Linked DNA regions of Schizosaccharomyces pombe. Each later gene encodes a partner of the first gene's protein in a complex. Each region holds a gene or a part of one and is shown on either strand. Other genes may lie near its edges. The genes, in order: nem1 and nem2.

Region 1 (4,819 bases):
AAGAATTGCCAGATGGTCCATCTACCAGATGATGAAGTTGTTAAAAAAAATGAATTATCGGTGGGATGGACAGACACGTTAGCAAACGAGTCAGAATTATAAACATCATCTGCGTACAAAAAACGCAGAGGTATAGCGGACAAGCATCCAGGTGTATTTGGCTCATCTAAGAACATTAAATCATAAGTTACCTGGAATATAACCAACTCACAAGACGATAATGCGAAGAGCAAACTTGGTTCTCCATTAGAGAAAACCAATTGTCTCACTGGTTGTGAGAATTTCCATATTGGATCCTCAGCAAACTCAAAAGCCGATACATTCAAGTAAAATGGGAATTCTTCAAAAGTTGCAGTATTTTGTAATGTCGGAGATGCACGAAAAATCCATGGAGACGAGAGGCATAAAAAGAGGAGATTTTCCGCAGTTTCATTGCTAATCTTGCTACAAGCAAGACATTCAGTTGTGGTGTATCTGTTTTTATCTGATGGCGCTGTTTTACCCAAGCAAAAAGTATTTAAAATATGTGGATTATATATAGACTCAGCAGAAGAAGCTAATTGAGACTCTTTCGCTAGTGTAGAAAATAAATTTCGCGGAACATATCTGCAAACACTTAAACCAAATGAACTACTAGTCGCTTTACGCGTGGAATTGGTGGCCTCAGCAGGAAGCTCAGTTAATTTAGGGAGTTTGTAGTTTGGATTTAAAGATAAGATATCCCATCTTTTGTCCAAGTCAACAAGCTCGACGCCCGTATAGGAGTCATACCTAGCAAAAGTCCATTCATTATTTTCAACCTTCTCCGCTCTGTGATAGCCAGATGGATTTAAAAGTTGACACGCCCCTATAATTCCATAATCCAAACTTACACTAGGTTTTTTACTAATTGCATCAATAGGCCATGTTGACATGAAGATAATTAGAAAAATAAAATTAGATTGAATTGTGTTTACAAAAACACATCTAACGACAATACAAGAGCAACCTAGCGACAAAGCAAGTAATCAGTGTTTCAAGGAAGCAATGCTGGAGTAATTTCACCTATAGTTAAGAACTTGACTTTATTGTTATACTATAATATATTTAAAGTGCTATCTTTAAACCATTATATAATTATATAAAATATAACTCCTACCGACTACATGCTTTCAATTGAACAATTTATTGATTTATGTTAACTGAGAATTTCTCTTTACTAGAAAAAGATGAAGTTTAAAAGTAATACTTAAATTAGTCATAAGACAGTGTTCAAGTAGGAGAGGAGTTCTTCTCCGAAGTCTCTAAGCTGCTATCAATTACATGTAGATTAACACAGCAACAAAACAATCTCCTTTACAATGAAATGCAAACGCTTACGATTTTGGAATGATTTAGCAATAGATAAATTGGTTTACGAATGTTGCATTAGCCCAGTTTTCCCTTTTCATAAAAAATACGTAAGGAGGTGCTGATACCTGAGGAAGAGTGCAATATTCAGATTAGCAAGTGTTTTGAATTCTCTTTAGTGTCCGCTTAACCAATTTTATCGATATGTTTATAATTTTGTAAAGTCAATAAGTTAGTTCAGCCTGTTATTTGTAAGTAATTTATTGTATGCAACGTCTAAAGGAGCTTGATACATTTTAACGTACCATTAAATATATTTAGACTTAAAAGCATCTTTCAAGTAATGTCAAGAAACCTAAAAAGACCGCTCGGCGACTTACATTCTAGCAAAACGTTGATTAAAAGAATGGCAATTAAGCTAGCTTCTACAAATATTTAGACTTTTAATAAAATGAAAATTAATTTTTCTTGCACAGAAACCCATACAAGTAAAGTTTATTAGTTAAAAAAAATGAAAGCTTCTGCAATGAACTTTCATTTTACGAACTTAATAAATATTTACACCGTATTGTTTACATTTAAATTTGTTACTTTAAGGTAGTTTTGATATATCTTCTTAAGCATTACGTCTTATGAAAATGTTATTATTTGGGTTGTAGTTCATCATTATATATATTGTGCATCGTACCACCGTGTGATTCTGGCTTTGTTTTCCCACATATTTTAGGTCTAACTAACACATATTTAATTAATTACTCTTTTTTACTAAAAGGACTCTGCTTGGTCGTTGTATACTTTGTATGCATCGCTTCTTTTGGTGAATTTTTTAATTCTTTGCAATCGCAGCAGAGAGAAAATAATTGTAATGAATTCGATTGCTAGGCTATCAGATGAAATTAATAAAGCAATCCTTGCCACTCCTTTAGACGACGATGAAGCTGACAAAGAAAAACTTGCTAATGCTCGGGGGCGAGCTTCATCAGCTACTTTGAGGCATTATAATCGTCGTAGATCGTCTTATTCGGCGTCCAGCCTTAGCAGTTTGTCATCAAAACCGACGGAAAAGGAAGTTCCTACAAGGAATGAAAAACCGAAGCATGCCAACATTATGCGTGTTGTCGTCTACTGGATTCGTGTGTTCCTGAAACGAATTTATACGTTTTTCGTTCATTCCGCTCGTGTATTTTTGTACCACTTTTTGAATGAAGAGAAAGAGTTTACCCTTGCAAGTTTTTTTTGGGGTCTATGCCGGTTTGTCTTTTTTCCTGTATTATTATCGTATAAACGCCGAGAGATGCTTCCCCCTCAGCCAAGTGTCCGCCGTCCTAGGTTTTATTCTTCTTATTCTTACCCATCCTCTCACCAGGATCCTGCCTATTCATCTTTCAAACGACATAGATCTTCTAATTCTTATAGCAGTTCTTCTAATGGAAATCATGTTCGTTTTCAGCCCTCTATTGCAGAAGAAGAAATTTCTTTCAATTCTTTTTCAAATTCATTGAATTCAGAAGAAGATGTGTGTGTTTCTCCTATGAAACCCAAAGAGGTCTCCCTAATGGGAAAAGCAAATTCCAATCGTTCAGGACATTCGCATCAACCTCAATCAACTCAGTTTTCCCCGCCTGCTAATGACAATATTTCTAAGCTGCCTTCCTCCTTTACGATAGTTAATGATCCTCTTAAATCTCCTTCTTCTTCCCGTCTCCGTATTAGAAACATTACTCTGTGTGCGGACAAAATACCGAGGCCTTTGTTGAATAGCAAGTTACCGAGAAAGACCCTTGTATTAGATTTGGATGAAACACTTATCCATTCCGTGTCTCGTGGTAGTCGAACGACTTCTGGACAGCCAATTGAAGTACATGTGCCTGGTGAACATCCAATCCTTTACTATATTCACAAAAGGCCTCATCTTGACTACTTTTTATCAAATGTGAGTCAATGGTTTCGCCTTATTTTGTTCACAGCATCTGTCCAGCCATATGCTGATCCAATAATTGATTATTTGGAGCGTGATAAAAAAATATTTGCTAAACGATACTACCGTCAACACTGTGCACTTGTCGATAGTTCTTTCGTTAAAGATATTTCCATTTGTAATATTCATCTTTCACGGATCATGATAATTGATAATTCTCCAGCCAGTTACAATGCTCATAAAGAAAATGCCATACCTATTGAAGGTTGGATTAGCGACCCCTCTGACGTTGATTTACTAAACTTACTTTCTTTTCTTCATGCACTGCAATATGTTCATGATGTGCGAGATCTTTTGGGGCTTCGTCTCGCAAAATAAGTGCTTTTCATGATTCCTTTTTTTTTTCGTGAGTAATTTACTCGTTATTTATCACCAGTAACGATGGTCTAAAATAACTTTTTCTACTGCATTAACATCTTGGGTGCCTTTCCTTTCTCATCATCAAACTTCTTTGTTATAACCTCAAAAGGGTACCTTTTGGATATTTCCTAGACCGCATTTGGGCCATTCCAGTTAAATAATTTTTGTTTCTTTTTGCTGATAATATGTCAATTAATGTAAGCCTAATCGTAAGAAATTCTTTCTAATAAACTAAACGCATGTTTTAAGAAAGATTAGTTTCTGCACTGATGTTCGCAGCAATTACGAAGGCAACTTACTTATGAAATTTCTTTCTAAATCAAGCTTTTAATAAACATGTTTATTCTATTTAAGTGTTGATTCTTTTTTTTTTACTTTTCAATCTGTTATTACAATCAACTTACTTAATCAGGATGGGCAAAGGATTATAAATGATTTAATGATTATAAACCAGATTACATAGACTTTTAGCATTTTAAAATCATATCACTAGGCTAACGACATTGTTCTAGCAAATAACATAACCCAAAACCACATTATTATTATATGTATCTAATAACACGAAAATTCAAAAAACCTAATATATGCAGAATTAATAGTTGAATCAATACCAACCACCACTTCTATTGAAGTTTAATACTTTTAACTAAACCAGCTTTAATACCAGTCTGCTCACCAGCATAGCCGCCCTGTGGTGCGCCCTTGTAAATAGCCTTTTTGCTGGCTAATTTCTTCTTAGCTTTTTCGTAGCGCATACGCTTTTTAAGTCGAGGATTTCTATTTTCTTTAGGTCGACGGGGAGTTAATCCTCTATTTTTAGCAATGTCTAAAGTAATTCCACGCTTATCACCTTCACCTAATTCAATTAGTTCTGGGTGCCTTGAAGCTCTTATTAAATCACGTTCGAGATCGTGATTTTCTTTACGGAGCTTTTTAGCCATCTTTGATTTTTTATCGAGAGACTCGTAATAATCCAAATCATCTTGATCTTCAACTTCACGATCGACATTTGCAGGTATGCCCATTGATTCCGGATCTTCATCATCAAGATCAGCACCAGCATCCTGATTTCGACCCCTGGCTGCAGCTTCTCTCATCAATCGCTGCTGGCGTTCAAATCTTCGTTCTTTGTATGGCATGTCCAAATCACCT
Region 2 (4,046 bases), 2.9 Mb from region 1:
CAAACATATTAGGCACCTGAGAGGGAAAAGTGTTTGTTTTTCCTACAGCAGGTAAAGAATTATTAAAATTGGTTTCCATGCTGTTGGTGGCAGGGATCATTGATGAAGTTGGCGAATACCTTGAAACTTCTTCAGTCACCATACCGGTTGACGGCATATTTGAAGCACCCTCCAAGTAAGATTTTTCACGTAAAACATCAAAAATTTTATCAACAAAAGGAATTGTCTCCTGTCGCAAAAAATCTTCTAGTTGTGAGTAGCATAACTGGCGAACTTCTTCTTCAGAAGAATCGTGCCTTAACAATGCCATAGCATAATCTGATAAAACACTTGCATCAGCATCAGAACTAGTCATTTCGTTAGCATATTGATAAACAATTTTTTAGCGTGTAAAAAAAAAAATCACGCAAATTGGCAACTCAAAAAAAATTACATACATTGGCTCCAACGCCTGTTCTAAATATCTTTTCAAATACTAAAAGCGTTAATTCGGCATCTTAAAAATAAAATTACCTCAGCATGTTCTTCTAAGAACAACGGCATTGTGATGGAGCAAAGTGCTGGTTGTTGGAGCGTTACGCATGGTTGAGCCAGTAAGAAAATATAGATCACATAAGGTAAAATCTTTAACAATTAGCCAGAAAGTTCAAAAAGAATAAACATAATACCAAAATAATAACAAATGTCTTAGCTAGGGCAATTGGCTGGGATAAAATTTAACTGAGTAGTCGACATTAGATAAGGAATAGGAAGGTTTGCATAATATTACTCGTATTTAGACTACTAATATACAATGTATTTTAAGTCAAACTCTGACGATTATGAGAGTTTCGAAAGAGTTCACTTGTCTCCAATTATTTCATTGATTAAATTGTCAGCACAACAGTGAGTAAACGTGTTAGCTATATGCACTTTTTTATATTTTAGCACCACTTATAAATAGTTAATTTTAACGGTGGAGTGATTACATTTATATTAAATTATTTGAAAACCTAACTCGTCAAGAGAGCTAATGAACGTCCGGTATAGTCCGCATGAGTAAGTTGAAAATTAAAAAAAAAGGAAGTCTCTACATAAGAAGAGAAGAAGTTTTGCTTATGTACATGCGAAAACGCTTTTTACCCATTTTTTAAAAAAAAAGGTGATGTAGAAAGAAAAGAAAGATTATAAGTCGGGAATGAAAGATAATAGTTTAAGTTGACAGAACAAGATAAGGAAGTTAAGTGACAGCAACTTTCAATTAAGCCTTTATTTAAACCCTTCCAATTAAGATGAGGCAAGTAAATGATCAAGATGTGTAATGAATCATCAACATCCTTTTTTTAATTATCCAACGATAAATCCTATTTCAGTGGGTCTGTAAAGCAATCTCATATCCCAACATAAAAGGAAATGTCCTTAAAAGTATCCTAATAAATTCAAATCGGGTAAGTATGTAATAAAAGTATAACGACAATAACTGATCAATAATATAGCGAAAGGCGCCAGCAACAACGGATAGCAAAAAAAAAAATAGCTGAAAATTTTAATCAAAATTTACGTTATGAAAAATGACAAATACTAGAACAGTATAAACATGAAAAGCATTAACAACGTTGAAAAGGAAATAAACGATCGCATCCTTTATAAATAGGATAAGGGTATAAGTAAATCTAGTTCTGTTTAGAAGAAGGAGATTCAGAGGACTCGTTACTCTGTATGCTATTGTTTTTTCTATGTATTGAAGCAAAATATGAAGAACGAAAAGCTTCCCAACCTTCGATCACCAATATGTCAAATCGTTTGCTTGATAATATAAGATGGACACCACAATCCAAAGGCTTTCTCACCTGGAACCACGGGACAGGAGTTATAACAAGGCGAATGTTAAAAAACCTCATCGCTTTGTTGACTTGTTGAACATAACGTGATGGATATACTATTGTAGTCCGATACAATCCAGAAAAATAAAAGAGCAAAAGTGTAACAATTCCGCATAAAAGACAAAGTTTGTAAGTCAAATCAATCAACGAGTATTTTGAGATGCGATAAAAGACGCGATAGCCAAAGTAAAAGTTCCACACCAATAGTGAGACATAGAAAGCCATATACTTTTGACGACGAACTTGAAGCTGTAGGTATGTTTTCCGAAACGATGCCTCTAAAATTAACAAGTTGTGATATACGGACAGGGTGTTGGGCACATAAGAGGACATGGCATTTTATTCACTCTTAACAATACGTAGGAAAAAGAATAAAAAGATATAAAGAACTTGAAAAACAGAATATAAGAAAGCTTTTTGGAGATAACAATAATTGGACAATATCCAACACCAATTACAAGAAGTCGTTATGAAGACCACAGAATGAGATATGTGCGTAACATAAGAACTAATTCAATTAGTAATAGTACAAGCCGATGATTCTAAAACAATAAAAGAACAGCCCTTCTAATTTGCTGATTCAAGTATCAATCGGATGGCAGATTCTAAAAGTCAATGTCAAAGCTACGCGCCGATAGCTATAATATCAATAGTGTGCAGCTGTCTACTTCGATATGTGCTATAGTAAACGATAGTAAACGTTGGTATACTGTATAACGATGCAAAATATAGTGAGGGAGTGTTAACTGTGTTCATTATTTGGTAAACATCAAAGTCTTAAAAAGTTCCGACCAATGGATTAGAAAGCTTTTACTGACATCTTTTTACTAAATGACTGCTCAGATATCAATTCTGTATTTAAAAAATCTTATGTTTGGATAAAAATATATAGGCCAAGTTTTTACATTGTAGTTTTTTAGCCGATTTAGCAATTAAACTCCCCTAGTTTAAACACGTTGGCGAAAAGATCATATATAAATAAAGAAATAAAGAACTCAATCAGCAATCCTATACCGAGTAAAATAGTAGCAGAAATAAGTTACGCAGCTTAACGTGTTGCAAGCTGAAAAAACTTAGTAGTGTTTGCAGAATTGAAGCATAAGTTTTAGGAACGACATATAGATCAATTTTCTATTTTCGTTTGTATCTTCTACTCCAAAAAGCCGAGCCAGGAATGTCGCACTCTAGAGTGTTGGGGTAAGTCGATTATCCTATTCACGATCGGAACCGCCGTAATTCCATCAACGATTTTTTACACATTAACCATAAATCCAAATTAATTGGGAACAATCAAAGAAGTCAATAGGACTGCAAATTTTTGGCTCCGCACACGGTATGAGTTTCATTAAAATTCATATCAGACATTAACAGACAGAAAAATAAAATAAGCATTAAATAAATATTCTTCAACAGTTTTCTTTTCTTAAAATTACTTGAAATTACCACATAAAAAACCAAAGTGAAAGCTTTGTTTACTCTCCAAGCATATAATGCATTGCAACGCACACGGGGTAATTGCTTATAAAAAATTCGGATGTACGATGTCTTTCAGTATTCATAATTGTTACATGTTCCATTTGAAAATTTGGATTTCCAACTCATATGGATTCGATTCCAAATGAGGATGATTTGGAGAAGCTTTTGGTAGCGGAGCAAAACGTTCCTTATGGAAAGAATTATGAGAGTTTTGAAGATGAGGAAAATTATTTACTAGAATTGCGAAACGCGAATGCTTTAGAAAACCTTGAACATCGATCAATACCAAATGATTTATTTCATAGTTCACAGCCTGTAGGTTCTCCTACAAGGAACGGTGATGATATCCCTTCTACACTGGATTTATATAGTTCTGACAATGCAGCAATTGATACTGACATAAGTGAGGACGAGACAATAAATCAGAGGCACGCGCCGCAAACTGATTACCGTTATCCCAATACGTCTGCTAATCCAAAGATGGGGCTTGAAGAGTCTATGGATATTGATATGCCCTCTATTGATTTGGATATTTCTAATGCTGCAGCTTTTCCACGAGATTCCAATCTACTTTTCAGGAATTACAATTCGCATACAAAAACTTCTGAAAAGGGTTCTCCAGTTAATTTTGAAAAAGAAAATCAAGATTCCAATGTATTATTTTCCACAGGGCGAACCTCGGTATTACATATAGATGCTGAACAATCG

The links.
Region 2: nem1 (region 1) and nem2 share a complex: the UniProt entries of both Schizosaccharomyces pombe proteins name them as parts of the nem1-spo7 complex.

Annotation. Positions count from the first base shown.
Region 1 is NC_003423.3:3,371,271-3,376,089, forward strand, and holds nem1 (Nem1-Spo7 phosphatase complex catalytic subunit Nem1), read left to right. Parts: upstream 1-2,031; 5' UTR 2,032-2,194; coding exon 2,195-3,625; 3' UTR 3,626-4,282; downstream 4,283-4,819. Other genes in the region: RNA polymerase I transcription factor subunit Rrn6, read right to left, coding at 1-914; U3 snoRNP-associated protein Utp3, read right to left, coding at 4,291-4,819. UniProt on the Schizosaccharomyces pombe protein: Catalytic component of the nem1-spo7 complex which acts as a phosphatase and may be required for proper nuclear membrane morphology.
Region 2 is NC_003423.3:486,379-490,424, reverse strand, and holds nem2 (protein phosphatase regulator Nem2), read right to left. Parts: upstream 2,470-4,046; 5' UTR 2,196-2,469; coding exon 1,653-2,195; 3' UTR 825-1,652; downstream 1-824. Other genes in the region: MTREC (exosome adaptor) complex RNA-binding subunit Rmn1, read right to left, coding at 1-347, 438-475, 514-543; Ctf18 RFC-like complex subunit Ctf18, read left to right, coding at 3,465-4,046. UniProt on the Schizosaccharomyces pombe protein: Probable regulatory component of the nem1-spo7 complex which acts as a phosphatase and may be required for proper nuclear membrane morphology.